Macaca fascicularis: one gene and its partners. The protein of the gene in region 3 purifies or fractionates together with the protein of the main gene of each other region. This does not show direct contact. Links are inferred from orthologs where the notes say so. Each region holds a gene or a part of one and is shown on either strand. Other genes may lie near its edges. The genes, in order: CASP8, CFLAR and TNFRSF10A.

Region 1 (10,807 bases), on a different chromosome or scaffold from region 3:
TGTGATCTTCAATGTTGAATGACTTTCATTTCTAGCAAGGTTCAAACCACAAATGATCTTTCAGTTATAAAACATCAAGTTCTTCCTTTTGAGCTCTGAAAAGTATAAAACTGTCTCCTTTGGAACTCTGTCACCAAGCCCCTCCTTAAACTCTGAGTGTACCTCACACACGATGACTTCCTCAGAGACTCTATTCTGGGACAAATTTATGGCAGTCTGTGGGAGACAACTGAAGAGGAACTGTTCAAATCCACAAGGTGATGTGTGATTCTTCCATCACTGAGAATTTGACTTGGATCCAGAATGGACATGTTTGAGAAAATATTAGTCATTATAAAGGCATTATAAATGAATTGTATCTTAGAGCCCAGGCAGGGCTTCAGCATCATTGAAAGGTAAACAGACTGTGGTGTCCTACAAGTTCAAGAAATGGGTTTTGGAGGAAGATATACCCAGTGTATTATAATAACTATTTTAATGAGCTTGTCTACTAATTCTGTCATTTGTGTCATGTCTGGGTCTCTTTCTCTTCATTGATTTTTCTCCTCATTTATGGTCATACTTCCTTGTTTGCATGCCTGGTTAAGTTTGGCTTGGATGTCAGCCATTGTGGTGTTTACCTTGTTGGGTGCTGAATATTTTTATATTCCTTTAGATAATCTTGAGCTTTGCCCTGGGATATAGTTAAGTTGCTTGGAAACAGTTTGATCCTTTCGAGCCTTGCTTTTTAAGCTTTGTTGGGCAGAACTAAAGCAGTGTTTAGTGTGGAACTAATTTTCCCTCACTGTTGAGGTAATACCCTCTGAGTACTCGACACCACACCCTCTGTATGAGAAGGATTTTCTACTCTGCCTGGTGGGACCATGAACTATTCCCAGCCCTGTGTTGGCTCTGGGGATTGTTCTACCTGTTCCTTGCTGGTGGTTCCTTCCTCTAACCATGTCTCTTTCTATTTCTTCCCTCCATCACTCCACCCCAGAGGCACTTGCCTCCTTGCTGTTTCCTTAACAGGCCAGGATGCTCCTACCTTGGGGGCTTTGATATTCTCTCTTCCTGAAAAGCTCTTTCCCAGATATCCACATGACTTCCTTCCTTTCCTCCTCCTGGTCTTTATTCAAATGCCACCATCTCAGATGCCACCCTATTTAAGGGCTCCACTCCCTGCCCCAACACTTGCTTTTCTCTAAATGGGATGCCACTGGAGATTTTTGAGGAGGAGAGTATTATTTGGGGAAACAACTGTGGCAGCAATGTGAAGGAGAATCTGAAGAATCAAAATGACAGGAGGCAGAACCTGTTAGAAGGATCATCTCCCATTTACACCTCAACCTGACTTCTGCTCCCATCCCAGCCATGGAAACTGCTCTTGTTAAAATCACAAGTAACTTCTGAGTTTCCAAATCCAAAGAATGCTTCACCTCACTTGACATGAGCAGTATCAGGTTCAATTGATCACTCTCTCCTTGGAACATTCACCTCTCTTAACTTTCATGGGCTTCTGGCGTTTCCTTCACCTCATTGGTCACACCTTCTCAATCTTCTTTACTAGAACTAGAACTCTGCTTAAAACCCTTCAATGTCACCCCATTGTTCTCCCACCTAATTTCTAAGTCCTGGAGTATTTTGAGGCTGGTTCCCAGGCCCCCTTCTCTTCTTTATCTCCCGTTTTTCCTTTGGAGAGCTCATCTGTTCACACAGATGTAAAAGCCATCTCTGTGCTGATAATTTGGGTTGATACCTCCAGCTTTGCCTCTCTCCTGAGCTCCAGGCTTGTACATCCAACTGCCCATTTGACATTTCAGCATAGGTGACATACAGGCACCTCAAAATTAACATGCCCAGCTCCACACTCTCAATTATCCACCAGAGATTTAGCCCCAAAATTGTCAACTCCCTCAGCTGTTCTAAGCCTAGACCTGAAGTCATCCTTGATTTCTTCTTTCCTTTCACTCTCCCAAATTCAACCCAGCAGCCTCAGCCAATCCTCTATAACATATTCCACATTCATCCACGTCCCTCCAACTCTGTTGTCACCTTACCCTAGTCCGTTATTTCTCAGCTACATGACCGTAGTATTCTCCTCCTTAGTTCCGTTGCTTTCCCTCTTGCCCTTCCAGTCCATCCCCTGGAGCATAATATAAGCAAGTGAGATACATGCATTCACTTCTCTGCTTAACACCCTTCAATGGGTCCCCATTGTTCTTAGGTTACCTTGTCCTCTCAGGTGCCACCAGGCTCCCCTGTATTTCTTCACCATGGCCCTCTATCCTTACTGTCTCTATTCCACCCATATTGGTATTCCTTTGGGTCCTCAAACACAATGAGCATTTTGCATTCTAAGGACCTTTCCACAGGCTTCTATTCATTCTTTAGTGGAAGTTTGTTTGTGTGTTTGTTTCAAGAAGCTGCTTTTTAGAGCAGTTTTAGGTTTACAGAAAAATTGAGCAGAAAGTACACAGAGTTCCCATATACTACCCCACCCCACCCCACCACTAGTTTCCTTTATTAGTAGTATCTTACATTGGGGTGCCACATTAGTTGCAGTTGATGAGCACTGTGGATGCATTCTTATTAACTAAAGTCCGTAGTTTACATTAGGGCTCTTTGTGTTGTACATTCTGTGGGTTTTGCCTAATATATCATGTCATGTAGCCACCATTACAGTGTCATACAGAATAGTTTCACTGCTCTAAAAGTGCCCTCTCCCCCACCTATTCATCCCTCCCTTGCCCTCCAAATCCCTAGAAACCACTAATCTTTTTTCTGTCTCTATAGTTTTGCCTTTTCCAGAGTGTCGTATAGTTGCAATTAGTAGTAGGTATTTAATAAAAACTTGCTTAGTGAATGAATAACTGATTGCCATTGTAACCATTCATGTGAGCTCTGGTGAGGCTGAAGAGAAGGATATACATGAGTGAGACAAGGAGGAGGTAGGACTGACAGGGTGTGAGTGGCCATGAGTGATGCAAAAGTAGCTCAAGTTGCTCCCTTGCATTACAGTCCAGGTGCCCTGGAGAAGAAACTAAATAAATAGACATCGGCATGATGTCCTGCAACAAATTCTTCTTATGCAGGTCATGGAGGAAGAATTGCATGCACAAGCCCTCATCCTAGAGTCACTTAACGCAAACCTCTACTATACCCAGGTGGAACTCCAAAAAGAGGTGAGTCCCTGCTAGAGTGGGGATGGGGGTTGGGGGAAGAACCTAGGTCTCTGTCCAGCTCTGCCGTATAGCTCTGCCCTGGATGGCTCTGGGTTGGGGAAGATGGCTTTAAAATATTTGTCTTTCAGAAAGCTATAGTGGGAAATCTGGAGAAAATGCTTCAAACCAAGTGTGCTGAAACTGAAGAAAAGTATAAGTACACCATACAGATCCTGATGGAAGAGAACATTCATCTGAAGTGCGGCTGCTGCTGAAAAAGACATGGCTGAGTTCTCTTTAGGAGTGGGAAGGAGTTTGAGTGAGGAATGGGTTAGGAAGATAGACCAAGTGCTCCCTAGTTATGTCAAGGCACAGGCATTTTCAGGAGGGAGGTGTGTCACTGCAGGCCAGCGACACAAAGCCAGATAGTTCACTTGAGGTGGAGTAGAGATGTGTCTACACTTCTCCCATTCACCTGTGTCCTTGTTGCTGTGCAAACCAACACAGGAAATTTATCTCCCAGTTTCTGAGTTTGCTCAGTTCTATGACTGAGGATGGTTTTTAAATCCATCTCCCCTGGGAGTCTGATGGTCTTACCATTACGTGCAGCTGCTTCTGGTTCCTATGGAAATCAGCTTTGGATCAGAAGGTGTACTGTTACCTGAAGCTGCATCTTAAATCATTAAAATAAATTTTGGTCAATACTTTAATAGAGGAAAGTTATTTTTATTGCATTGATTTAGTAGAAAATTCCTCATACAGGACTTCAGTCACCTGAACACCATACCTTACTAAATTCAAAACCACTGGAATGAGTGAGAGACTGCTGTGGTGAAGGAATGAAGGCACATTGCTCTCCCCGCACCCCAAATATCCTATACCCTTTCTAGCTTTTGAGTTGACATTGATACATCTTTCCTTTCTTTTTACAGGCAAAAGGTAATTTCTAAGAATGAAGAAATGTATGAAGAATATTCTGGGAGATTGGCCTCTATCACTGTTTCTAAGGATGATTCTGACACTGTGGAAGATGGTAGCAAGAAAAGACAAGAATCATAAACATAAAGTCGCTCTCCATTGTTGAAGATGGTCGGCACACCATTTCTGTAGGCCCCGGAAACTCCCGGCAGGGTTTTCTTCAGAACATGTGTATAATGAGTTTAGTTCTTGGGTTGCTCTGACTCTATTTTTGCTCTCTTCTGAGTGGCTGAAAATGTTTGAATTCTCATCTGAATTTCACAGCTTATCACGGACGCTTCATTGAAAAATGATGCTCTCCGTACTGGGAGCTGAGCTTTCTCTGAGTTTTGTACTATTTTTCTTCCACCTTTATGTATTTCATAGGAAAGAAATAGATTTGAAAGCCTTCTTCCTATTGAACTTTTACTATATTTGGGGGGGGGGGTGTACCTTTGTCCCCTGGGGCATTTAGGTAGCAAAAAAAGATGATGTGTTGATTTTATTCTAAAACCTTTTTCTCTCATACCCATGCCCCCTACTTCCCTACCTCTCAATCATGTTCCCTGACCTATGACTTAGGAAGGGTTTCTGATGATTCTTACCACCTTCTCTGGACCATCACCAGAATTCAGACACCCACAGGGCAGGCAACATAAATAAGTGAAGTGGGCTAGACACAAGGAAAACAATTGCATAAGCATAAGTGACAACTGACAGCAGCCTCAGTAGAGGGGCTTGGGCAGGGCTGGGGCACAACGGGTGGAGAAGAATGACCTGCAGAGCACTGTCTCATCTGAAGAAGGTGCTTCTCAGACCTTTGCCATGCAAAAGCATGAGGTCAATATTGTCAGATATTATTATTTTTTCAAAGAAGGTATCCTGGTTTTTATGTGATATCTCCTAATTTTTAAACGTTGACAACAAATTCTAAAAATACAACTGTGTGTACCAATCATGGGAGACTCAAGTAGAACATGCCTGTGGTCCAGATGTTTTCCACCTGTGAGATGTCATTGGCAGAAACCAAAATCAAACACAAAAAAATCTCCAAGGAGCAGTAAGATCAAATCATACTTTATTCTATTAAAAAATATTTTTGAAAAAAGATACTTAAATTTTAAAGATAACTTAATTCCTAATGATTTAAAATAATCCAAGCAGAGATGAAAGAGCAAATGCAAATGCATAAAAAGACCCACAGCATTGTTAGCAAAAAGCAAATATAGTTAGCCAAGCCTATATGCATCATGAAAGCAAAAGAAGGCAAAAAGCAAGTTTGGGGATAAATTATGTAAAAATTGTAAAATAATTTGAATTTTTAAAAGATTTCAACAAAATTTTGTTTTATTAAAAAAAATTTTTGGCTGGGTATGGAGGCTCACATCTGTAATCCCAGCACTTTGGGAGGCCAAGGCGGGCAGATCATGAGGTCAGGAGATCGAGAACATCCTGGCTAACATGGTGAAACCCCATCTCTACTGAAAAATACAAAAAATTAGCCAGGCGTGGTGGTGGGCACTTGTAGTCCCAGCTACTTGGGAGGCTGAGGCAGGAGAATGGCGTGAACCCAGGAGGCAGAGGTTGCAGTGAGCTGAAATTGCACCACTGCACTCCAGCCTGGGCGACAGAGTGAGACCCCGTCTCAAATTTTTTTTCGAGACAGGGTCTCACTCTGTCGCCCAGGCTGGAGTGCAGTGGTGTGAATATGGCTCACTGCAGCCTTGACCTCTTGGGTTCAAGTAATCCCCCCACCTCAACCTCCCAAAGTGCTGGGATTATAGACATGAGCCACCATAGGTGGCTATTGTCTAATATTTTTTGATGTGGTAGTGTGGAATTTGACTTCAAGAAAGAATTAAAGTTAATAGAATATTAACAGTGGGCTTAATGTTGATAATAATTTGAATCAAAATCCAGCTATATTCGTAGCTGGATTTTGCAGGCATCTGGTATTTATTGCCACCAGGTAAAAACATTCCCAAAGCCCTAGGCATGAACGAAAGGAGCCAGTGTTATTGTTGTTAATATCCTATTAACTTTAGCTCTTACAAAAAAGTGCAAAACTAATAAATTAACTACTTAGAAAATTAGTAAATAAACATAGTGTTGTATATCTAAATAGCACTATCAATCAGAAGGGAAGACAAGTTTTTTTCTTAGTGTGAAAGTTGGCTGCGGCATCTGTTTCCCCATGTTTTTCTTGTCATCCTTGTTGCTTACTTCATAGTTCACTTCAGTCAGGATGGTGAGAATATCATCGCCTCTGAAAGACATCACATAACATTGTGACTATCTGTGGGGGAAAGCAACTGATGAACTGTCTCCTCTGCTGTGCTCAGAGATAGTTCTGTAGTTCTTTCTCTCAAAATATCAGTCATTTGAAACAATAAGTTGCTAAACCAAGACCTACCCCAGCTTTCGTGGTAAATGCGTTGTCTCAGAGCTTAATAACTTACTTTTGGTTTATTCAGGAACTCTTTTGACCGTCAGAAACCTCAGTGTCAGTATTAGAGTTGATTTCTTTCTCTCCTGACCTGTGCGTATCTCACTCTTCTCCATGTTACTTGGCTCCCACAGTTGCTTCAATGCCCCCCAATACTCTCTGCCTCAAGTTGACATTGCATCTGTGGATTCATCTTTGATGCAATTAAACTTAAGGCAAGTGAAAGTACAATGTCTCCTGCAGCTACTCCCACCTTCTTCTCACCAGGATCTCTTAGCGTTTTTGTTAGGCAACCTCTTCTTCTACCTCGGAGCTAGCCCTGGAAACCTTGCAGGATTCATGATCTAAGTTACAAAATCTAAGTTAGATTCATGATCTAAGTTGTGGGAAATTCTCACTCTTCATATACTCAAAACATGAAATACAGGGCTAAAAGGAACCTGCTGTTTATTTCCCATAATGCACCAAGAGGTTTTAAGGATGGTTTGCTCTTATAGAACTTTTGACAGAGTTGGAGGATGTTAAACATTGAATTGGGTTACTGCCTTCTTTGGAAGATTTCCAAAACTAGTTGAATTGGCTCACTCATGTTTTGGCCTAAAGACAGAGAGCTGGACTATATGACTTTACCAGTCTTTCCTGCTCTGTGACACCCTGATTGTCCTTTGAGGTGCTGAATAAAGGAATAAAACATCTCAGCTTTTCCATCTATAAACTAAGGATGTCAACACTTGCCACTCTCCCACTTTGTAACTGACCTGGGAAGTGCAGCTATGTGATCCACAGCTAGACATCTAGAGATGAATGGAAACCATTCCCCTTGCACAGTTCTCTGACCTGTTGATGTCATCTAAACCACATATCACTTTCTAATAGTCTCTGAATGTGAGTAGATAGTAGTGGTGATGGAGTAGGAGGGGAAGGTAGTGTAACAGTGAGGTGGGCTGAGTAGGCAAAACTTACCGAGGACATCGTTCTCTCAGGCTCTGGCAAAGTGACTGGATGTACCAGGTTCCCTCTGCAGGGTTTCGGTAGGAAACACAGTTATTCACAGTGGCCATCCCCAGCAGAAAGTCAGCCTCATCCGGGATATATCTCGTTTGAGGTGATGATAAATCCATTTCCAAATAGGGTTGCTCCTCTGAATCAGTCTCAACAGGTATACCTTTCTGGTAGTTATCCCCCTGACAAGCCTGAATAAAAAACACTTTGGGTTTTCCAGCAAGGGAAGGGCACTTCAAACCAGTGAACTGAGATGTCAGCTCATAGATGGGGGCCTCCTGTCCATCAGTGCCATAGATGATGCCCTTGTCTCCATGGGAGAGGATACAGCAGATGAAGCAATCCTTGTTACTGTGGTCCATGAGTTGGTAGGTTTTCAAAATCTTATAGATTTTCTCTACTGTGCAGTCATTGTGGTGCTGGATCTCAAAATGAAGCTCTTCAAAGGTCGCGGTCAAAGCCTCTGAAAAGTGAAATTTGAACAGTCACGTTATACCACAGTAATTCACAGACCAGAGCTGGAGAGCACAGTGGGCATAACATTGATAGATAAGAAATGTCCATCGATGATAGATTGGATTAAGAAAATGTGGCACATATACACCATGGAATACTATGCAGCCATAAAAAAGGATGAGTTCATGTCCTTTGTAGGGACATGGATGAAGCTGGAAACCATCATTCTCAGCAAACTATCACAAGGACAGAAAACCAAACACTGCATGTTCTCACTCATAGGTGGGAATTGAACAATGAGAACACTTGGACACAGGAAGGGGAACATCGCACACCGGGGCCTGTTGTGGGGTTGGGGAGGGGGAAGGGATAGCATTAGGAGATATACCTAATGTAAATGACGAGTTAATGGGTGCAGCACACCAACATGGCACATGTATACATATGTAACAAACCTGCACGTTGTGCACATGTACCCTAGAACTTAAAGTAAAATAATAAATAAATAAATAAATAAATAAATAAATAAATAAATAAAGGATTTGAACCAGAAATTCAAGAGCAAAACCCTCTATGTTTGTAGCTGGATTCTGCAGGCTTCGAATATTTATTGCCACCAGCTAAAAACATTCTCAAACCCTGGGGCAAATGAGAAAGCAGAGAGTTACTGTTGGTCTGTTTTCTCTACTCAACTAGTTTACAAGATGAGTAAGTTATCATTTAGGCTTACTACTGAACCAATTTTTAAAATGACTATATTATTTACATAATCAGGAAAAACAAAACAATTTTTGAATAGAAGATCCAACTTATTTTATCCTAAACCTTCTCAAAATTATTTATGTTTAGCAAAATAAAATACATGAATTAATAAAATAGAACTAAAAGACCTTTTACAATAGGTTATCCCCTCTCTATCCCTCACTATTACCTAGTCACATTCCATGAAGGCAACCACTTCCAATTTTTAACCACTCTTTTTTCACATTAACCTCCATTTTGTAATGAATTTGGGTACACTGCTAATTACTCATTTATAAATTTTAGATTTTCGCATTGAGTTCTTATTATGGAGAATAAGCATTTGGTGCTCTTACACAATTATTTAGAATTTTGGTTGAATCCATAGTAATATTTTTTTTAATTTTTTTTTTTTTTAGAAAAGATCTCACTCTGTCACCCAGGCTAGAGTGCAGTGGCACAATCTCAGCTCACTGCAACTTCTGCCTCCCAGGTTCAAGCAATTCTCCTGCCTCAGCCTCCCGAGTAGGTGGGACTACAGGCACGCACCACCATACCCAGCTGATTTTTGTATTTTTAGTGGAGACAGGGTTTCACTGTGTTGGCCAGGCTGGTCACGAACTCCTAGCCTCAAGTGACCCACCCACCATGGCCTCCCAAAGTGCTGGGATTGTAGGCATGAGCCACCACCTCCGGCCCATACTAATATTTCTATTATTAAGACTATGTAAACATAATGTTCTTTCATTATGTTTCCTTATTAACCTTTTTGCCTTTCCTGGAATTAGTAATTGTATTATTTTTTTCATCTGCTTTGTTTCCTATATGCTTAACACTATTTTTTCTCCAAGTGCTCTAATGGATCTGGCCAAAATCTTTCAACATTTTCAGGCTACTTGTCTGACTCATTTTTATTTCTTCCTGGAAAACTTTCCATCCAGAGCACTGCATCCTTCTGCTGTAATACCAACTGGCTGTTCTGTAGGCCAGATGAATTTATCTTCTCCTGGGACATCTCTCTGTCTCTTCCATAGTAGATTATCTGTTTCCTCCATCGATGACTTCCTCTTTCTTATTAGTTTCCTTTGCTGGAGCATAACCACGAGGAGTACATTTTTTGACCCCTTGTATGAGTCTTTACTTCATAGAGTTCTATTTCCAAAAGCATTTTTCCTCAGAATTCCGAACGCTTTTCTTCACAATCTTAGCTTTCAGTGTTGCTAGAGAGAAGACCTTTTCATTCCTGATACTTCACATATTTGGCTTACTTTTTTCTCTTTCCAGAAGCTTCTAGGGTATGATATGTTTGGAAGTGATTCTTAATCCATTATACCCTTTCAATCTGGAGATTGTGTCATTTCGTTCTTGGAAAGTTCCATTTCTTTTTTCTCTGTCCTTTCTTTCTGGAACTCTTATTGTCAAAAATTGGACATCCTTGATTCAGCTTCAAATTTTCTTATCTTTTGCTCCTATTTTCTATTTTTGTCTTTTTATACTACTTTCTGAGACTTTGTCTTCTACTTTATTGAATTTTTCATTTTGGTGCTCATATTTTTAATTTTCAAGGAGTCTTTCTTGTTCTGTCCCTGTTTCATAACATCTTGTTCTTTTATGGAACTTTAACTCTCTAAGAACATTAAATACCAATATTAAGCAATAAAAAAAGCTTGCTTTTTTCTCAACATTGTCTTTGTTTCATTCATATTGTTTCATGTTTTTCTTGTTGTTCTCATTGCCTCTTATTTATTTATTTATTTATTTATTTATTTGAGACAGAGTCTTGCTCTATCACCCAGGCTGGAGTGCAGTGGTGCAATCTCGGCTCACTGCAACCTCCGCCTCCCAGGTTCAAGCAATTCTTTTGCCTCAGCCTCTGTAGTAGCTGGGATTACAGGCACCTGCCATCACACCCGGCTAATTTTTGTATTTTTATTAGAGATGGGGTTTCACCATGTTGGTCAGGCTGGTCTTGAACTCCTGACCTCAGGCGATTCGCCTGCCTCGGCCTCCCAAAGTGCTGGGATTACAGGCGTGAGCCACCGTACCCAGCTGCCTCTCTTTT
Region 2 (10,807 bases), on a different chromosome or scaffold from region 3:
TTCTTTGGGGCTGGGTGTGGTGACTCTCATCTGTAATTCCAGCACTTTGGGAGGCCAAGGCAGGCAGATCACTTGAGGCCAGGAGTTCAAGACCAGCCTGGTCTTGACCTCGTCCTGACCTTGTCTCTACTAAAAATACAAAAATCAGCCGGATATGGTGGTGCGCGCCTGTAATCCCAGCTACTTGGGAGGCTGAGGCAGGAGAATCACTTGGGCCTGAGAGGCAGATGTTGCAGTGAGCCAGGATTGCACCACTACACTCCAGCCTGGGCGACACAGCGAGACTACGTCTCAAAAAAACAAAAACAAAAAACCCTCTTTGGGTACCCAAGACCTGATGTTCTCTACTCAAAGAGCCCTGAGCCTCCCACCAGGGCCTACATTGGCCTCTTCCCCAAGTCTATACCCCAGGGACAAACTGTGCTGCAAGTATGCACATCCCTAAGCCCAAGGGGTGGCTGATTGTAAGAGGATGTAAATGGAAAGTGGACTGCAGGTGGGAGTGTCAACATAGGTGTATAGTCATTCTTTGAGGGCTGCTGAAGTCAAAGGATGAGGATGGCACAGGGGTAGGGGGTTAAATGCCTGCTCCTACTGGTTTGCCAAATGGGATGACAATATGGGCTTCCAATGTGAGCCAGAAAAAGCCCTCAGGGAATGACATATGGATATGCTGGGTTAGAAGTCATACTGGTGTGTGTTGAAGTGGTGAGAATCAGTGGGCATGCAAGGTGGGCCTGGGGTAAATCCACTGTGATGGTTCTACTGACAACCAGAAATGGCTTTCACTTGGGATAGGGTGCGTTGGAGGTGGTGATGGAGGTGCTAAGCTAGGTGTTCTTGAATAGTAGTTTCCAAATTAAGGACAGGTGCTGATCTGTAATAAAATTTTCTTGGTGTACTGAAAAGATAAGAAAGGCCAAGAGCAGCGGCGGTCATGCCTGTAATCCCAGTGCTTTGAAAGACCTAGGCAGGAGGATCGCTTGAGGCAAGTTCAAAACCAGCCTGGGGCCAGGTGCGGTGGCTGAAGCCTGTAATCCCAGCACTTTGGGAGGCTGAGGCAGGCGGATCACGAGGTCAGGAGATCGAGACCATCCTGGCTAACACGGTGAAACCCCGTCTCTACTAAAAAATACAAAAAACTAGCCGGGCGAGGTGGCGGGCGCCTGTAGTCCCAGCTACTCTGGAGGCTGAGGCAGGAGAATGGCGTAAACCCGGGAGGCGGAGCTTGCAGTGAGCTGAGATCTGGCCACTGCACTCCAGCCTGGGCAACAGAGCAGACTGTCTCAAAAAAAAAAACAAAAAACAAAAAACAAAACCAGCCTGGGCAGCATAGCAAGACTTCCCCCAACCCACGACCTCCACTTCTACTATATATAGTGTATATATATGAACACGATACATATACTATATAGTATATACATATATACATATATATACACACACACATGTGTGTGTGTGTGTATATATATGTATTTTTTTGAGATGGAGTCTCGCTCTGTCTCCCAGGCTGGAGTGTAGTGGCATAATCTAGGCTCGCTGCAACCTCTGCCTCCTGGGTTCAAGCAATTGTCTGCCTTAGCCTCCTGAGTAGCTGGGATTACAGGCGCCCACCATCACACCCAGTTAATTTTTTGTATTTTTAGTAGAAATGGGGTTTCACTATCTTGGCCAGGCTGGTCTTGAACTCCTGACCTCGTGATCCACCCGCCTCGGCCTCCCAAAGTGCTGAGATTACAGGCGTGAGCCATTGCGCCCGGCCACAAATTTTTTTTTTTTTTTTGAGACGGAGTCTCGCTCTGTCCCCCAGGCTGGAGTGCAGTGGCCGGATCTCAGCTCACTGCAAGCTCCGCCTCCTGGGTTCACGCCATTCTCCTGCCTCAGCCTCCCGAGTAGCTGGGACTACAGGCGCCCGCCACCTCGCCCGGCTAGTTTTTTGTATTTTTTAGTAGAGACGGGTTTCACCGTGTTAGCCAGGATGGTTTTTTGTATTTTTTTAGTAGAGACGGGGTTTCACCGTGTTAGCCAGGATGGTCTCGATCTCCTGACCTCGTGATCCGCCCGTCTCGGCCTCCCAAAGTGCTGGGATTACAGGCTTGAGCCACCGTGCCCGGCCTCAAAATTTTTTAAAAATTAGTTGGGCATGGTGGCACCTGTAGTGGCACACCTAGCATGGTGGCATGCTAGGACCTCTAGTCCTAGCTACTCAGGAGGCTGAGGCAGAAGGATCCCTTGAACTCAGGAGGCAGGAGGTTAAGGCTGCAGTGAGCTGTGAGCGGGTCACTGCACTCCAGCCTGGAGTGAGACCCTTTCTCAAAAACAAACAAAAAACCAAACTTGGATAACTGACAAACAGTTTAGTATTTAATTACATGGAAAAACCAACAAAACAAGACAATTATTAACTCCAGAAAAAACTAAAAGTTGTGTGGGAAAGGAAAAGTAATCATAGTTTGGTACATAACTTGGCTGTGACTACCGTTTACATGATTATAATAGCATATGTACTGAAGATTAATCAAAATCAGAATGTAACTATCTTGGGAAGATGGAGAGATTAAAAAAAAAAAAAGGTTGGGGGTGAATATGGGGTGAAAGTAATGGAGAAAAAGAGCTAAAGTCTCCTCTTGTGTCTCAGCACTCCACCCAAGGTAGAGCCTCTGAATGGAAGGACTTTGCCACCTCTCCACCACACTTCCCCAGGATTTAGCTTCAGCATCAGGTAGCTAGGGGCAAGATGAGAAATGCTGACATGCTGGTCTCTGACTGGGAGCTGTGGGAAGACAGAGGTTCTTAGTTGCAGCCGTCTGGAGTGGAGTCTGTCTTGCTGCACAAAGGCAGAGGTTTGCTTTAAATACCACAAACTCTCACATTCTGATGCAAGAATTTTTATAGATTTTTTGGAATACATGTTTCTTCATTTGCTGTTTGCCCTTAGGACCATTTCAGACGCTTAAAATAGTTAATGGTTGTTTGTTGTTTTAAATAATTTTCAGTTTCACTAGGGGTGAATCCTGAGCTCTTCATGCCGTCCTGCAGTTAGTCTCTCTTGGTATTATTCTTCACCTTTCCTGTGAGTTTAAAATTATTTCAAGAAAAGTTAAAGCTTTTTAAGAATCACAATAAAGTAGATAGATAATAGGAATAAATAAAAACTTAGCGGGGCGCGGTGACTGACGCCTGTAATCCCAGCACTTTGGGAGGCCGAGGCGGGCGAGGATCACTTGAGGCCAGGAGTTGGAGACCAGCCTAGCCAACATGGTGAAACCCTAAAATTAGTCGGGCATGATGGCCTGTGCCTGTGGTCCCAGCTACTCGGGTGGCTGAGGGGGTTGGATGGCTTGGGCGCAGGAAGTCCAGGCTGCAGTGAGCCGTGATGGCGCCACTGCCTTCTAGCCTCGGCGACAGCGCGAGACCCTGTCTCAAGAAGGAAAACAAAAAACAACATACACACAAAAAAACCACAAAGTGCGTTCACGTTTGCTATGACTCCCAGACATCAAATCATAAACACTCGCGCCTGGCTGGGTGGCTCACGCCTGTAATCCCAGCAGTTTGGGAGGCCGAGGCGAGCGGATCACAAGGTCAGGAGTTCGAGACCATCCTGGCCAACAGTGAAACCCCGTCTCTAATAAACACAAAAATTAGCCGGGAGTGGTGGTGCGCGCCTGTAGTTCCAGCTACTCGGGGGGCTGAGGCAAGAGAATAGCTTGAACTAGGGAGGCGGATGTTGCAGTGAGCTGAAATTACGCCACTGCACTCCAGCCTGGGCCGCAGAGTGAGACTCCGTCTCAAAAAAGAAGAAAGCAAGCAAGCAAGCAAAAAAAAAAAAAACCCAAAAAACCTCGCAGTGTTTACTCCTAACGCGTGGAACTTATGTCGACATCCACCCTCGGTTACTGCATACTCAGTCACACAAGCCAAAGCAGGAAACAGCGAGTTGGCAGCCTCACCGACGAGTCTCAACTAAAAAGGACTCCCGGAGCTAGGGATGGGGACTCGGCCTAACACAGTGAGTGCCGGCTATTGGACTTTTGTCCAGTGACAGCTGAGGCAAAGCCCAGGGCTATCCAAAGACCACGGGAGGGGGTGTGGGAGAGAAGCGCTGCGAACAGCCATCGCCCAGCACCGAGTCCGCTTCCGAGTCCGCTTCCAGGCTTTCGGTTTCTTTGCCTCCATCTTGCGTGCGCCTTTCGGGCGTCTAGGGGAGCTAAGGCTGAGGTGTCAGCGGCAGGAGAGTCCGGCCGCGACAGGACGGTACGTGCCCCACGCTCTACCCCCCGCCGGCGGCGCCGGAGCTGTCCCAGACCCCAAGCCCCGACGCCCAGCCCTGAGTCAGCGTTGCAGCAGGCCCTGAGCCGCCGCGCGCCCACGCGCCCACGTCCCACTCCTGCCGCTCCTCACAGCCCTGCGCTCCGGGAAACTGCAGGTGGCCGGCAGTGGCCAGGGGATGGCGGGGGCGCTTCTGGAACCTGACTCAGTTTTGTAGATTTCTTATCTCGGTTGTTTACCGCGGGCTGAGCGGAATGCCCCCGCTTCCGCTTCCGCCCCGCTCCGAAACCCCGAACCCTTTCTGCTGGCAACTCCGCCCCGGATTCCCAAAAAGGGGCGACCTGGGCCACTGCGGTCCGAGCTTCACCCCAATGGACCTGAGAGACCGGAAGTAAACCTTGGCTAACTCTAGCCGCCCCCTGCAGCCGCAACCGCAGAGGCCCACCCGCGAGCTTCAGTGGCGGGTCCTCAGCGTTGTGTAAACTTTGCTTAAAATGATCTTGAGAGTTCAATTCTTGGAGTGAACTGTTGAGAAGATCTGGCACTTTTCCTTTCGAAAGTTGTTGGGAACGTGGACTTTCCCAACAGTTGTGTGTGCGTTCGACCTCACTCAGTGGGAGCCGCCGCCCTGTAGGGAATTTAACAATAGCCTAGTCAGGGCTGTTATTTTCCAGAGCAGTTTAATATCTATTTTGCCCAAGTGCAAGGAAAGCTTGCCTTGGAAAAGCTGGGAATGCCTGACTGAAGAAACGTTTTTAGAGCCTTTTAAAATGAACCTGTTTCTGCCATTTTTCCACCGCTTCAAAAGGACTGGGAAATGTAAAATGACTTCAAGATGTTCTTACTTGAGAGTGTCCGGATTTGGACAGAAGGCCATGTTCTTTTAATATTAACAGTGGCACGCAGTAGAACAAAGGCCACTGAAATTCAGAATTAGTTTTTGGCTCCACGGAGTAGGAAGTAAATTCAAGGACGCCAGAGGTCTTACGAATGTTTTAATTGGTTGACATTTGAAATTTGTTCTTAAGCAATGAGGGGTGAAACCAGTAGGGGGTTAGCATATAGCATAAGTAAAGCGTTTTGAATATCAACAAACTGCAATAATCTAGAACTGAGAGCGGGCTCTGGAAGGTTTGACCTGCTTTAGAGAGAGATTTCAGATAAGAAGAACGGAGTTTTTGGCCCTTTTCGGGTTGGTGATTCCCCTAAATAACCTTACAAAAGTTTTGTTTAACAAAAAACCTGGCTCGAGCTCCAAGATCTTTTTTTTTTTTTTTTTTTTTTTTTTTTGAGACAGAGTTTCACTGTTGTTGCCCATGCTGGATTGCAATGGCACAGATCTCTGCTCACCGCAACCTCCGCCTCTCGGGTTCAAGCAATTCTCCTGCCTCAGCCTCTCAAGTTGCTGAGATTACAGGGATGCACCACCATGCCCTTAATTTTGTATTTTTAGTAGAGACGGGGTTTCTCCATATTGATCAGGCTGGTCTCGAACTCCCGACCTCAGGTGATCCGCCCGTCTCGGCCACCCAAAGTGCTAGGATTACAGGCGTGAGCCACCGCGCCCGGCCCAACTCCAAGATCTAAACAAAAAAGACTGGGTCGAAAGGGAGTTTTGAATGTTTACTGTTTGCTTTACATACATTTAATGTTTGTAAATGTTTGCTTTACATACATTTTCTTGTTTTGTTAATACTTGTTTTACTTACAGCTTTTGGGTCAAATGTCCTCGTTAAAATGGCTTTCTCTAGCGACTTTATGTTTTACGTTTCTGTTTGTAACTGACATTTGACCTCCTTACTTGCTTCCTTACACCGGTTACTTGCTTCCTTATACTTGCTTGCTTCCTTGTACCGGTTTCCAAGGTGAAGCCATTTGCAGGGTCGCTGGGTTTCCCCCTACCCCCGAAAGTCTTGCATGACCCGGGGTGGGCGGGATTACGTGCAGTTTTTTGAGCCTTGGGCTGGGGGCCTCCAGGAAGCTGAAACGGAAATTGCCTAGGCCCCTGGGGCATCGGAGGTCCTACCGCAGCTCCTAGTAGGTGGTGGGGGCCCACCGGCGGTCCCCACTCAGTCCTGGTGGGGCCGCACGTAACTGTCCTGAGATATGCATAAGCCCTTTGACCACGCATGGAGAATATCACCACCCAGAGACACGCGAGTGGCCCTGTGCAAGTTTCAACTGCGCGGGGGCGGGGAATTCCGCAGACAGGATTCGAGAATTTATGTCTTGTAACATTTCAGCCGGTGGGCGGCGGGGATTAGGCGTGAAGCGGTTCAGTAGGCAGAGGTTTTCGGACGCCCTCCGGCGAAGCCACCTGTTGATATATTTGACTTTCTGTCCTCGTTCCTCATCCCATCTGGAGCATTTCCAATTCTGCTTTTGCGGAGCAGCAGGTCTGAGCTTGTACGGCGAGGGTGGGAGTTGGTCCCGGCGGAGATCCAGTGGGAAGAGCCGACGGCTGCCCGGGCGTGAGTAGATGAGAATCCTGCCCGATCCCCGCCCCGGGGCTGGTGTCGCCCTGGGCTCCTGAGACGTTGGGGCACTGTCCCCCGATACTGGCAGAAAAGGATTGAGTCCTCGCTTTTGGCCCTAGGTCTCCTCCTTGAGCCTCCAGTGGACTCACAACACTCCGAGGCATATTGCTCTTTCAAATACCAGGAATGGACTCTGGGGAATGGGGCACCCTTGAAGTCTGATTATTTCTTCCCTGTAGAGCCCCAGGGGCTAATTAAACTCGTGTTTATGGACTCCAATGCCTCCTTGCCTTTAATTCAGTATAATCCTACCAGCATTTATTGAGCTTCTCTGGGCCAGGTAGAGTTCTGGGTGCCGAGGACATAGAAATGGATCTAAACTTGGTTCTTGTCCCCATAACCTCACAATATGGTTGAGGAAGACTCAACAGTTACCTAAACACAGGTAACTTCGAGTTAAGGCAGTTTAGACAAGATCCACTGACAGCCTGCCTGGAGGAAGCCTGTGGGCCATGGTGGGGCAGTTATGACACCATGGGTTCTTTTTGTTTATTTGTTTGTTTGTTTTGTATTTTCTTTTAGTATGCCCAGGTAACTTGCAGAACCCAATCGTTCTTTCTTACTATAGATCGGTGAGGTGAAAAGCACTATCATTATTGGAATGCCCTGTATCTCCCTTATACTCTCCTCCTGGCATCTCCCCTCAGAAGACTTGACACCCCACCCTGGTGCCCTTTCTCTGTACTTTCATATGCTCAGCGGCTGTCTTTGCACTTGCTTCAGGATCGTACCTAACATTCTGTACTGTAATGCATTTTCTTCAGACACTCTTCAGTCAAGTTGTATTACAATTACCTGGGTTAAAATACATGCAAAGTAAATAGAGAAAACCCCCAGGGGTTCTTTCCCTACAGATAACCAAAGGTTTCAGTGTAATGTTTTGTTTTGTTTTGTTTTGTTTTTTTACCACATTTGTGCTCTCAAATACAGTCTTTTACATATTTTTTTTAAAAAACACTCATAATATTTTTGTTTTCTAGTTTGCAAAATATTTCATTTTTTAAAATTGTGTTTATTTACAACCTGCTTTTTTCTAAAAAAGATTCAAGGTGGGGCCTTTTTTTTTTTTTTTTAGGTGAGATCTTGCTTGTTGCTCCGGCTGGAGTGCAGTGGTGATCATAGCTCACTTCAGCCTCTAACTCTGGGCTCAAGCAATCATCTCACATCAGCCTCTGGAGCAGCTGGAACTACAGGTGCGCACCACCACACCCAGCTACATTTTTTTTTTTTTTTTTTTTTGAGACAGAGTGTCACTCTGTCGCCCAGGCTGGAGTGCAGTGGTGCTATCTCTGTTCGCTGCAGCCTCTGCCTCCTGGATTCAAGTGATTCTACTTCGAAAATTGCTTGCTTTTCTACACTTGTTCTGTATTTTGGTCTCCACTTCTAGCCACTTTCTTTTTTTGGTGATTTAGGTTTTTGGCCCAAATAGATAAACATCTTCTACATTATTTTTCTCTTATTCTCGATACTGAGTTGCCATCTTTGTTGATTTAGTACTTGTTATGAAAGAGAAGCTACACACCACTTGATACTACTTTCATCTGCATACTCAAGATAATTTGTATCTTCTGCAGTGAACTCTTCAGTTGAAGAAGTGAATCATTTATATGTATATTTATATACTTTAAAAAATGTAATTGAAAAATCCTCTCATAGTTACTTACTCCAAGGTTTAAAATGTTTCCCAGGGTAATGAGTTTCTTTAGTCATGTGACTTTAGAAATGGGAACCAAAGCTACCTTACCTACTTGTGAAATTCTTGAGTTTTCTCCTTGAACTTCCTTTGTATCTTCCCTTTGGCTTATATATCTGTGTTTTTTGTTTGTTTTTACTTGCAGCTTTCAAAAGTAGTTTTCAAAGTCAATGAGATTGTTTAAAAGAGTAGGTACCTGACAGTCTCTTGCTTGAATACTATCTGGTGAGTAAACCAAATTCCCTGCAACAATAACCACAACTTTGAATCAAGAGTTAAATGAAAAAAGTAACTCCTTCACCGTTTACTGAGCACCTACTGGGGCTAAGGAATGGGAGCACGTAGATCTCTCTCTGCTATCTGGAGCTCCCTTTCTGGTTGGAAAACAGAAGCAGCGCAAAAGTTTCACTCAAAACCTTGGCCATGGTATGCTATTGAAACCCCATAGTTCAGATTTTATACTTGACTTGAGTTCTATTCTAAGCCATGGCTGGATTATTTTAATCTGGCAAATAATCATAAGGCTGGATTATTTTAATCTGGTAAGTAATTATAAGGTTGTGCTCCGTGATGGAGCTGTTAATAAAATATGTGGTAGCACAGGCAAGTTATATATAGCACAAAGCTATATCCCCAGAGGAGACACTATATCAGTTGCTGTCTGCCTAGGCTTACTGTAAATGTGCTGGCTATCATTCAGCCTAAATGTAGAATGAGTCTATCCCTTTAACCTGGGTAGTCACCAGGAATGTCAAGGAACCTAGAACAAGGAACCAGGCAAGAGATGAGAAACTAGGGGGACGGATGTGTAGGTACCAGGGATGGTGATGAGACTGAAGCAAGTGGGGAATTTTTATTTTTAATTTTATTAAATTTATTTAATTTAATTTTTAATTTTAATTTTTATTTTCTTCTCTACTTTTCTCTATTTTCCAGATTTTCTTAGAGCAAAAAGCAGGTAGTGCTTTTTATAGAAAATGAATGCTATATAAAAGTAATTTTAAGAACTTTATATCCCTAGTATCATGTACAATTTCTGACTTTGAACAGAGCTATCTCCCAAAGGGCCAAGTTTGGCCCTTTAGTTACAATGGAGAATCTGTTGTGTAAACTGAGCAAATATACCTGCCAAGTTGAAATTTAATTTAAGCCAATTGTGTCTAGATTAACTTAAGAGAATGTCTCCTAAATATTTTATTGCAGTAATGTAGCATAATTGATAGTATGCTATTCTCTTGAATAGATGGGATTGTTTCTTGAGCCACTTTTTATTCTTTTGATCAAAACCTTGAGGAGAAGGAATGCCTGTTTTCCTGACTGCTGTTGCATGAAGTTAGACATCCAGTTCCTCTAAAGGTGACGTCAGATGGTTTAGATACCTAAAAAGAAGTGAGGCTAAGCCATAGGTCTTCTTCATACTACCTGAAGTTGAAACCTGGTCTCTGAACTCAGTCTTTGCCAAAGCATTAAAATCTGACATCTTGCTTAAACTCAGGCAGCTTGACCTGTTATTCATTTTTCTCTGTCAAATAAATTGAAGCCTGGTAATAAATTGATGATGAGTTCCAAACATCCCCTTGGTTGGAGACATTGTATTCTCCCCACTCACAATGAGGTCCTGCCAGTGTCCAGGAAGTTTTGCATGGGGACTTACCCATCCTCTTAGAATTACACTGCAAGTCACTCTAAAGCAATAGCATTGTTAACGCATGTAGTTGCAAAAGCTTCCTTTCACGAGCTCACTCTTCTGAATCCAACAACTAGATTCCAAGTATGGTATCTTAACTACACCACCAGCTCCATCTTGCTTCATTGTATGTTATGAAGGGATGAGTAAGCATTACACATGGGCTGCAATGGTCCAATGATGACCAGTCTGTTCAAGACCCAAGAGGGCTGAGCTTGGCAGCCCTGGCCATTGTTTACCATAATCTAATGAAGATGAGTAAAAGCCTATCTATCCCCAAGGACCTCCACATATGACAGTACTCAACTCAGTCTCACATAGGATAGAATAAGATAAAATGCTGGAAGAGAACACAAACAGTGCTACAAAGCAGGAAGAGATGACTTGATTTGGGGATCAAGACAAGCTTATAGAAGAGCTATCTTGAGAGATAAGATATAATTTCAGGCACAGACTGAGAGGAGGGAAGGGGCTTTCCAAATGGAGGCAAATGCTTGAGTGAAGGTGCTGGGACAGAAAAATACTGTCCAGGGACCATTGAGATATTTGTTGGTTTGGAGTTAGATTATGGGTTGGGCTGAAGTGGGGATGATACTCAGTGCTTGAGCTATGTATCAG
Region 3 (10,672 bases):
TCCTTCCACCTTTCACCAGGTGATGAGGCCACAAGAAGGCCCTTGCCAAATAGGGGCCCCTTGACCTTGTACTTCCAAGCCTCCAGAGCAGTAAAAAACAAATCTCCATATTTAACTAAATCACCCAGTCTCAGGTGTTCTGTCATAGTAGCACAAATCAGACTGAGACAATATCCATTCAGTTTGATCTGTTATTTAGTGATTCATTTTGAAACAACCTTTGAATAACTTCCAAACTAAAACAATATTATTTTTTATTTTAGCAAAAACCCATCTTTTCTGTCTCATAGTTTTTTTGTTTATTCATTTTTGTGTTTTTAGAAAGAGTCTTGCGTTGTTGCCCAGGCTGGAGTGCAGCAGTGCGATCTTGGCTCACTGCAACCTCCACTCCTGGGTTCAAGCGATTCTCCCACCTCAGCCTCCGGAGTAGCTGGAGTTACAGGCACCCGCCACCATGCCACCATGCCCGGCTAATTTTGTATTTTTAGTAGAGACGGGGTTTCACCATGTTGGCCAAGCTGGTCTTGAACTCCTGAGCTCAGGTGATCCACTGCCTCAGCTTCCCAAAGTGCTGGGATTATAGGCGTGAGCCACCATGCCTGGCCAGTATATGGTTGTTTATAAGTGTGTGACACCTTCCCCTCTCTCTCTACCTCCTGCTCTGGTCATGTGAGACAGCTCACTCCCCCTTTGCCTTCTGCCATGATTGGAGGCTTCCTGAGGCCTCCTAGAAGCAGAAGCCGCCATGCTTCCTGTACAGCTTGCAGAAGTGTGAGCTAATTAACTTATTTTCTTTATAAATTACTCAGGCTCAGGTATTTCTTTATAGCAATGCAAAACAAACTAATACAGTGACTCTGTTATAAAAGCCTGTTTGCCTCTCAGTGTGTCCCCTCGCCCTATAATGTCCTGCACCAACTTGGGACTCTGCAGAGACTTTGTATTAGTTTGTTCTTGCATTGCTATAAATTAATACCAGACACTGGGTGATTTATAAAGAGGAAGAGGTTTATTTGGCTCACAGGTCCACAAGCTGTACAGGAAGCACGATGCTGGCATCTGCTTGGCAAATAGGGAAGCCTCAGGCAAGTTACAATCATGGCAGAAGGCAAAGGGAGAGACAGCACTTCACATGGCCAGAGCAGGAGAAGAGAGAATGGGGACGTGCCACAGATTTTTTGACAATCAGATCTCATGAGAACTCACTCACTGTCAGGAGGACAGTACCAAGAGGAATGGTGTTAAAACGTTTATGAGAAATCTGCCCTCATGATCCAATCACCTCCACCAGGCCCCACCTCCAACGCTGGGGACTACAATTCAACATGAGACTTTGGTGGGGCCACAGATCTAAACCATATCAGAGTCCGTCAGCAAGAAGGCCCTCCCTAGGTTTGGCCCTTTGCCCTTGGACTTCCTAGCCCCAAGAACCATAATACATAAATTGATTTTCTTTATAAATTACCCACTCCCTACTCTGAGGTATTCAGTGATAGCAACAGAAAACAGACTAATACAAATAACCTTCATTTAACTTAGGTTAATATAACTAAGATTTTTAAGTTACCAAAATTAAATATAAAAATACTTAAAAGTAGACACCTTATAAAAACCATACCAAAAAAGACACAAGAAATGGCCTTGCGCGGTGGCTCACACCTGTAATCCCAACACTTTGGGAGGCCGAGACAGGCAGATCACGAGGTCAGGAGATTGAGACTATCCTGGTTAACACTGTGAACCCCCGTCTCTACTAAAAATACAAAAAATTAGGCGGGCGTGGTGGTGGGTGCCTATAGACCCAGCTACTTGGGAGATTGAAGCAGGAGAATGGCATGAACCTGGGAGGCGGAGCTTGCAGTGAGCTGAGATCACACCACTGCACTCCAGCCTGGGCGACAGAGCAAGACTCTCAAAAAAAAAAAAAAAGAAACAAAAAAAAGATACAAACATCACATAACACATAAAAAACACAAAACAAACAAACACATAACATATAAAAAACACACAAACAAAATACAAAGAACCATACATTGAAAATATATGACTCTTTTCAATCCTTTTTTTCATTCTTGTGTTTCATATACATCAAGAAATTTATACTTTCCTTGTACATTTTGTTCTCCAGTTGAATTTACAGTTTTATGATCTTAAAGACACATAAGTGTTTTGATTAGTAAATCCAGGTAGAAGTTGTATGTGTGAACTGTATATAATGTTGACAACTCTGAAGAATTGTCTGTTTTAATTAAACCAAGAAACTTAAACTAGCTTTTCATATACTAAAGATTACCTCGGATCACGTGAGCTTGAAAAACATTTAGGTGGGCTCCCATTTTTCTAAGAAAATGCTTGATTTACGGAAGCAATTCTTTTCTTCCTTTTAGCCAAATCTTTGCATAGGCACCAAATAACACATTTGTTTAAGATGAGAGCTCCCCCCTACCCCTGCCAAAAAAATAGTATTTTTATATACAAAAGTCCAAATCTCCAAAGGTACATGTACTTCAATTGTGACTTGAACTCACGGTAAATAAATTAAATAATTAATAAATTAACCTTAGCTTACTGGATAGTCACCATCTTATATGCTGTTCCCTTGACTGAAATGTTGTTGTGGAGCAAATGACTCTATATGAAATGGGACTTATTGGAGGAATTAATGCATCTCATAATGGAGACTGAGAAGTTCCACAACAGGCCATCTTCACAGCAGAGACCCTGGAATGCTGGAAGCAGGGCTTAATCCAGTCCAAAAACCTAAGACCCAGGGAAGCCGATGGTGTAATTCTTAGTTCAAGACCAAAGTCCTTACATCCTCGGGGGGCCACTCATATAAGCCCTGGAGTCCAAGGGCTGGAAATCCTAGAGTCTGATGTCCACAGGCAGAATAAGAGTGTCCCAGCTCCAGGAGATCAGATGGATTTGCTTTTCTTTTTTTGTTCTATCTGGCTCCCCAGTCTATTGGATGGTGTCCCCCAACATTAGGGGTGGGTCTTTTCCACTCAGTCCACCCGACTGCACGCCAGTCCCCTCTGGAAACACCCTCGAAGACATGCCCAGAAATAATGTCCCAGAAATAATGCCTTACCAGTGCTCTAGGTGTTCTTTAATCCATTCACATTAGCACCTACAATTAACCACCATGATAAGGAAACACATGGAGACCCAAGCAGACCGGCCAGCTCAGGAGAGAACCAGATTTTTCTTTGGCATATGAGCCTCAGTCGGGCAATAATTCTTTCAAGTTTATTTTATCTTGAGATGGAGTCTTGCTCTGTCCCTCAGGCTGGAGTGTAGTGGTGCAATCTTGGCTCACTGCCTCGTGGGTTCAAGCGATTCTCCTGCCTCAGCCTCCTGAGTAGCTGAGAATATTGGCACGCACCATCACACCCAGCTAATTTTTGTATTTTTTTGTAGAGACGGCGTTTCACCATGTTGGTCAGGCTGGTCTTGAACTCCTGAGCTCAAGTGATCCACCCGCCTCACCGTCCCAAAGTGCTGGGATTACAGGCATACCACCACACCCAGCTAAGTATTTATTTTATATACATGTAAACAAAACAAAACAAAACAAACAAACAAAAAAACTATTAACACTCTTTCTGGTAAAAAGAGTCTTTCACTCCAAGGACACGGCAGAGCCTGTGCCATCTTCCACGTAGATGAATTTTCCAGAGTCCACCAGGAGGTCCTGAATCCTCTCCTTTGCATGTCTCTCTCCTATCCTCTCCAAGGCATCCAGCAGGGTGTGGATCGAGGCATCCTGTCCAGTTTTGTTGACCCATTTCATCAGCATTGCATACAAGGCATCCCCTGGGCCTGCTGTATCAGCTCTTACCATGTGGATCTCATTGTTTGTGAGGCCCAGCTGCCTCATGAGCTGGTCCCAGGAGTTAAAGGGCACGATGTCTGCAAAGTTGTCAAAGAACAGCATCATAGCTGGGTGGAGAAAGCCACAGAGACAGCTTGGTGAGTTGGGACTCAGTTCAGAAGGGGCAGAGGTTCCCACATCAGGCCCAGAACCCAAGAGGAGAACCTGGAGAGCCCCTTGCATGGGCAAACTTGTTGCTCCATTGCCCACCCACCTCCCATTCACAGACAGCCCGCCCACACTGCCCGGTCTCCGTGGCCCCCAAGGCACTGACGGACACCAAGGTCACCAGAGAATCTGCCCTCAGAGAGGGCTGAGAACCCACCTGGGGAGAATGGATGGACCCTAAGGAGGCAGAAAGCAAAGTGGGTGAGAGCCCGAGGAAGGGAGAGAGAGTGGCTGCAGCGGGAGCTCAGAGGAGGGAGGCTGCCTGGGCTGCGCTTGCCATGGGAGCAGGTCCCAGGGCGGCCACTTCTGCATCTGTGGGAAGTGCAGGGTCTGGGGCAGAGCTAGGTGGGGGCAACCAGGCCCTGACCAAGAAGCAAACCTGAAGACAGAGCAATCCTGCCCAGATCTCAGGACTACCAGGGATTAAATGAAATGAGATGTGTGTGCAAAGCACTGCACACCACCATCCACAGGGATAGAAAGGGCCAGGAATACCAAGCTATGTTTTCTAACAGCCTCATTTAAAGAACATAAAAAAGAAAAAAGTGACATTCATTTTGATGTGTGGTACTGAATATGTGTAAAATATAATTTAATATGCAACCAATATACAAAAACTGAAACTCACTCAATTGTCCCATAGAAAGGTTTTTTTGATAAACATAGAAATTGACCCTTCTGGTCCTTAACCACTTGAAACTTACATTTGTTTTATCTGAAGTATTTCCTCAGGAAAGACATTCAGGCATCTCAAAAATGTATCAAAGAACTGAAACTCACCAGATCACTACATCCAGACAATGATGGGATGTGGGACCCCTCATTCCTCTTGTTTCCTTGCCCCATTCTAGTTCCTACTTTCTTACACTGTTACATTTCTTGCCTGCTATATAAACCCTTAGTTTTAGTGAGTCAGGGAGATGGATTTGAGACTGAGCTCCCATCTCCTCCACTGCAGCACCTGATTAAAGCCTTTTTCTTGGCAATACTCATCATCTCAGTGACTGGCTTTCTATGCAGTGAGCAGCGGGACCTAGACCAAACCCCTGAGGTTTTGGTAACAGATTCTGGTTCCCTGGCTGGGAAAGTGTTGCTCATGGTTCTGCTGCCATGGGCCAGGCGTCTCAGAAGCCCTCCCAAGCAGTTGCCCCACTAATTTTGGCTGGAAGTGAGTTTCAGTCTCTCTCTGGTCCCACTGCAGCCGTCCCCAACCACATTCCTGATTACCTCAGAAGAATTGCCTTTGAAATTTGGCATTTGCATCCAGATAGGTGATTGTCCTTTATAGGCTCAGACAGCAGGATCTGCTCTTCTCAGTTTGAGAAATTTGTAAAGGAATTTCCATTTGCAGGTTGAACAGGCCCAAGTTCAGACTTTGGAACTGAAAGGGATGCACTCTGCCTCTCAGTCTGGACACTCTTGGGGGCTTGTTGGTAATTGTGTGTCATGTTGGGGCAAGTGAGTGTCTTTTGTGGGTACCAGGCAGCACGACTGGCTCCTCTCAATTTGAGAAATTTGAAAGAATTTTTGTTGGCAGGTTGATCAAACCTAACCAATGGAGAGAGGAAGCACCCTGTTTCAGTCTGGGTAGTTTTGGGGCTTGTGTGTTGCTGCAGCAGTTGGATTATGTTTTGATAATTATTTGTATGTGTTTGCTAGAGTCACGGGAAACTGTAAGTAAGATTAATTTAATGTTGTTGGTTTAATGAAAACAGCTGAGTCTTCTGAGTTATTGGTGAAAATGCCTATATATTTAACTTTGAAGCTCTTAGGTGAGCACCTGATGTTCACTGGCTATTAAAAAAATGGTTGACAAAGAAATAACTAACTTTAAATGATGGTGTCTAATATTTCAATTTTCAGAAGCAATCTGGATAAACTGAAAAATGAAAGAATTCGGTAAATATAAATGGGATGTTTTAAGTAAATTTTTCATGTAATTAAAAATTGTTGTCATTGGATTACAGAGAAAACTTTCAGGGCAGTAACTGAAAGACCAATGTGTGGCCAGGCACATTGGCTCATGTCTGTAATCCCAGCACTTTGGGAGGCCAAGGCGGGCGAATGTCCATCACTTGAGGCCAGGAGTTTGAGACCAGCCTGGTCAACATGACAACACCCTGTCTCTACTGGAAATACAAAAAGTACCCAGGTGTGATGGTGCACACCTGTGGTCCCAGCTACTCAGGAAGCTGAGGCATGAGAATTCCTAGAATCCAGGTGATGGAGGTTGCAGTGAGGTGAGATTGCACCTCATCACTCCAGCATGGGTGACAGAGCGAGACTCTCTCAGAAATAAGTAAGTAAATAAAAGACACACTGATGTGTTCATAAAGACTGTGATTGTTAACCAAACATGAAGCTGGGCAGGAGTTGATTGTGTGGGGTAAACTAATGGAGGACTGAAATAATTTTTACGGCTTTTCTTGGTTTGAAATATTGCTGATTCTTTTGGTTTTGTTTTCCAGAGTCTGGAGAACTTTTTGTATATTGAGTATACTTTTGTAAACAGAATTTGAAGCATATTTCTCCCTCTGCCTAATTTCTCCAGAATGTGTAAATTATTTGTGACTATTAATTCATGGCAATGTGTTTGCTTGCATATGGTTAATAACGTTTTCTTTTACAATGGAACGCAGTTGGAGAAAATGGTTATTTTCTCAGGGCTTTGATTGCAGTGGCCTTGTGAGAGGTTCCAGCAAAGCCAACTTAGGAGAGCCTATGTGGACAGTGATTTTTGTTGCACTTTGTGTGGGTAATCAGGCCACATATATGAAACTAAACTTATTTTGCAGGTACACTGGTCCTGCTATAATTTGTCTTTGGTGGAAGTGGGGCCAAGACAGAGAGAGAGATTGTGTTTCAGAAGAAACACAATCTTCTAGTATTAAATTAACTTTTGATTCCTGGGTGGCCTCAAGGTCACCCATGATATGAAGCTTCCCACAATGCCCCTCCTCAACCATGAAGCAGCCAGAAAGATCCAGGACCAGACTCCCTGTGACTGTGGGATTGACAGATAGAAAGGCAGACCTGAAATCAACCCAATAGTTCCATCAAAAGTTTTTTGTTGTTGTTGTTTTGGTAAACATAGAAATTGACCCTTCTGTTCTTAAAGCTCAAATCTTACATTTGTTTTATCTGAGTTCCTTTTTCAGGAAATGATCTTCAGGCTTCTCAAAGTATCAAAGAACTGAAACTTACCAGATCACTACATCCAATGGAATGCGGGACCCCTCATTCATCTTGATTGCTTCTTTACTCCTCCCTAGTTCCTATTTTCTTACACATTGTTACATTTTATCCCTACTATATAAACCCCTAGTTCTAGTCAGTTGGGGACATGAACTTGAGACTGAGCTCCCATCTCCTTGGCTGCAGCACCCAATTAAAGCCTTCTTCCTTGTCAATAGTTGTCTCAGTGATTGGCTTTCTGTGCAGTGAGCACCAAGACCTAGACCCAATCCCTGGTCTCAAATAATGAGTGAAATATTTCAAATGAGTGAAATATTTTCCATTCTTTCTTTCATTAAGTCTTTGGAATCAGTATGTAGTTTATACAACAGCTCTGCAAATTGGGCTTAGGCACAGATAAAGAGCTATTAGCCCACTGAAGTCAGTTGTGCCATGCAGGACAGCGCAGCTCCTCAGGAGGTCCTGAACAACAAAGGAGGAGAGAGGAAGTGGAGAAGGGGATAGACAGAATGGTTAGTGTCATTAATAGCATGCAGAAAGAATGAGTGGGAAGAAGAGACGGAAGAAGACAGTTTAGGGCCTTGATGGTCTTATAGCACAGGACCCCGTTTCTGGCATGGAATGCTCTGGAAGAGCATTCTCAGCAATGGGGACACCACTTAGGACACTGTCCCTATTCCCTCCATTCCTGCTGCACCTCCAGGAGCAAAACACTTACTCTCAGTGGGGTCAGCGCCATTTGCTGGAACCAGCAGCCTCCTCCTCTGAGACCCTTCAGGTTCTGCCGGTCCCTGTAACACACAGTGGAGAACGCCTTGGTCTGAGTCAGGGGTCCTGCAGTCTAGTACTGACCCTGACCACCAGCCAGCCCTGAGACCTGCAGCACATCACTTTCCCTCTTGGGTCATCATGGAGATGCCGAAAAACCTCTAGTCCCACAGAGCTCACAGTCACTCCCCACTGCTGGCATTACCACCTCAGCTCCACTCCATCAGATCAGCGGCAACATTAGATTCTTATAGGAGAGCGAACCCTGTTGTGAGCTGTGCATGTGAGGGATCTAGGATGCACGCTCCTTATGAGGGTCTTATGCCCGATGATCTGTCACTATCTCCCATCACCCTCAGATAGATCCACCTAGTTGAAGGAAAACAAGCTCAGGGCTCCCACTGACACTATTATGGTAAGTTGTATAATTATTTCATTATATATTATAATGCGATAAGAATAGAAATAAAGTACACAATAAATGTAATGTGCTTGAATCATCCCAAAACCATCTTCACCTCCCAGTCCATAGAAAAACTGTCTTCCACACAACTGGTCCCTGGTGCCAAAATGTTGGGGACCATTGGTTAATAATATGATGTCTTTTGTATGCACATATACTGATGCATCGATTTGGACAAAGAATCACAAGAAATGGTATCTCATAGTTACTTGAGGAAAACCCAGGGCACTGCAGAGTGGAAGATGCTCTCTTTCCTCACTGAATACCTTTTGACAGTTTAAATTTTCTCACTTTAAATGTATAAACCATTTCTTCACGTCAAAGCACCTTATCAAGCTGGAGAGATTAGAGATTATTGACCTTTTTAATGTTTGCTTTCTTTTTACTTTTTTTATTTTTATTTTTTACATTTTTGGTTAGAATAAATGGGTACTAATGCAAGAAAGCAACCAAATGGAACAGTCTAGGTGGAAGGAGATCATTGTCTACATGAGCATTTAACCTGTGATTAAGCATTTAACCAAAGCAGAGGGAAACAGGAGAATCAGTGGCTCAAAGGGGTTGGAAAAACCAGACAGCGACTAGAACAATTCAGGGAGTGCCTCGCTTTGCACTGAAACACAAAATAAGTTCCATTTAGATTCTATAGTTATATGAAAAAATCACATCTTTGAAAAAAATATCTCCATAAGAAGTTAGAGGAGTTCATCTTGTGTTGGGGAAAGGTCTGTCTACAGTAATGAGCAATGAAAAGGTAAATGTATCTACAGATTTCACTGGTTAAAAATTAAAGCTTCTACACCTGAAAATATTAGAACAAAAAGGGGCAAGAAGAAATTAAGAATCTATTGTCTGAATGTGAGAAAAAGCATGAGTAGGAGAGCAGACCTTTCTCATAAAGACTCTGAGAGACAAGACACTGATCTTATGCAAAAACAGTCAAAACAAAGAAATGTTCATTTAAAACAATGTTTTCCTAAATAGCAAAAAAAAAGAAAAAGCCCTTCAATGTTGAATCAAAATATATAAACTGGTACAAACCAACGCTTGGGGGCTGTGTGCATGTGTGTGTGTGTACATGCATGTGTACATGCATGTGTGTGTGCATGTGCATGTATGTGCGTATGCACAGTAAGCAGTACTGTCACACGCTGACTTGGAAATTGTGCTTCTTCTTGGAAGCCTCCATACAACCATATTCAGAAATCTGGGCAGAGATTTATATCCAAATATATTTAATGCAATAATAATTTCAGAGTACATTTAAAACCCCTGTTGTTAGGAGCAAGGGCTCCCTAACTTCTGTTAGGAGCACACAGTGGAGACCGTGCAGCTTTATTCAGTCATCAACAAACCCTGTGACCCTCACTCTATTCCTGTGGAGCTCCAGTTTCTGAGGACATGGCAAGGACAGGACAGGGACTAAGAAGCAGACATCTGGAAGAGTGGCTGTCCCCTTGTGAGGGTGGTTTCTTTTCCCCACGCAGCCCCGTCCCCTGCAGTCCTATCTCCCTCAGGCTCCACTTCCCCCTTGACCAGGAGAGCCGAGGCACGGCCCTCATCCCCTGCCTACAAGGTCTTGGAGGGGCCTGGCCTGTCCCCCACTCACCAGCAGACACTGTGCCTCCCCTGGAGACTGTACAGTGACACCTGTCAAATCTGCCGGCTCCTGGCTTTCCATTTGCTGCTCAGAGATGAAAGTGGACAGCGAGTCTCCGTGGTTCAGAATCATGTTGTGGGCATTGTCCTCAGCCCCAGGCCCTCGTAGGAGACCCAAGCACCAGAGAAACACCTTAGGAAGGCAAAGAGCCAACTCAGAAGCCCACACCCAGGGCTCCCCACGGGGTCCCCAGGGCACAGCTGGACCTGCTGCCATCACACTCTCCCAATGAGGTCACTCCAGGAAGTCCATGCTCAGCACATCCAGGACCTGAGGCTGGGGCCAGGCTCTGGTGCTGGGCTCGGGGGCTTACCCCATCCCCAGGGTACAGGCTGTGGGGTAAGGGTGTCACCCGGCCTGTAGGAAGGACAGGGCTGCAGCATGGCCTGCTACCCTGTATGATGCTCAAAATGGCCTGTGTCCCCCATAGTCAATCCACAGCGTCCAGGCCACTTCAGAGACTCAGGGTAGCCATGATAACACGTGGACCCACCCACCTGGGCCACGCTGTGAGCAAGAAGCAGTTCCTGAGCCAGCCCCAGCT

Evidence for each region.
Region 1: the proteins of TNFRSF10A (region 3) and CASP8 purify together in Homo sapiens (affinity purification with western blotting; 13 studies listed by BioGRID and IntAct, counting the BioPlex papers as one, with this or other methods). This does not show direct contact. The link is inferred for Macaca fascicularis from reciprocal best matches to the Homo sapiens genes TNFRSF10A and CASP8.
Region 2: the proteins of TNFRSF10A (region 3) and CFLAR purify together in Homo sapiens (affinity purification with western blotting; 5 studies listed by BioGRID and IntAct, with this or other methods). This does not show direct contact. The link is inferred for Macaca fascicularis from reciprocal best matches to the Homo sapiens genes TNFRSF10A and CFLAR.

What each region holds. Positions count from the first base shown.
Region 1 is NC_088386.1:97,059,651-97,070,457, reverse strand, and holds the end of CASP8 (caspase-8), read right to left. Parts: intron 8,012-10,807; coding exon 7,510-8,011; intron 6,367-7,509; coding exon 6,231-6,366; 3' UTR 5,824-6,230; intron 5,721-5,823; 3' UTR 5,162-5,720; downstream 1-5,161. Other genes in the region: FLACC1 (flagellum-associated coiled-coil domain-containing protein 1), read left to right, coding at 3,075-3,164, 3,293-3,402, 4,076-4,202. UniProt on the Homo sapiens protein: Thiol protease that plays a key role in programmed cell death by acting as a molecular switch for apoptosis, necroptosis and pyroptosis, and is required to prevent tissue damage during embryonic development and adulthood.
Region 2 is NC_088386.1:96,879,727-96,890,533, forward strand, and holds the start of CFLAR (CASP8 and FADD-like apoptosis regulator), read left to right. Parts: upstream 1-3,929; 5' UTR 3,930-4,257; intron 4,258-4,523; exon of another isoform or gene 4,524-5,464; intron 5,465-6,520; exon of another isoform or gene 6,521-6,743; intron 6,744-10,807. UniProt on the Homo sapiens protein: Apoptosis regulator protein which may function as a crucial link between cell survival and cell death pathways in mammalian cells. Acts as an inhibitor of TNFRSF6 mediated apoptosis.
Region 3 is NC_088382.1:26,375,382-26,386,053, forward strand, and holds the end of TNFRSF10A (tumor necrosis factor receptor superfamily member 10A), read right to left. Parts: intron 10,261-10,672; coding exon 10,078-10,260; intron 8,029-10,077; coding exon 7,956-8,028; intron 3,943-7,955; coding exon 3,623-3,942; 3' UTR 2,930-3,622; downstream 1-2,929. UniProt on the Homo sapiens protein: Receptor for the cytotoxic ligand TNFSF10/TRAIL. The adapter molecule FADD recruits caspase-8 to the activated receptor.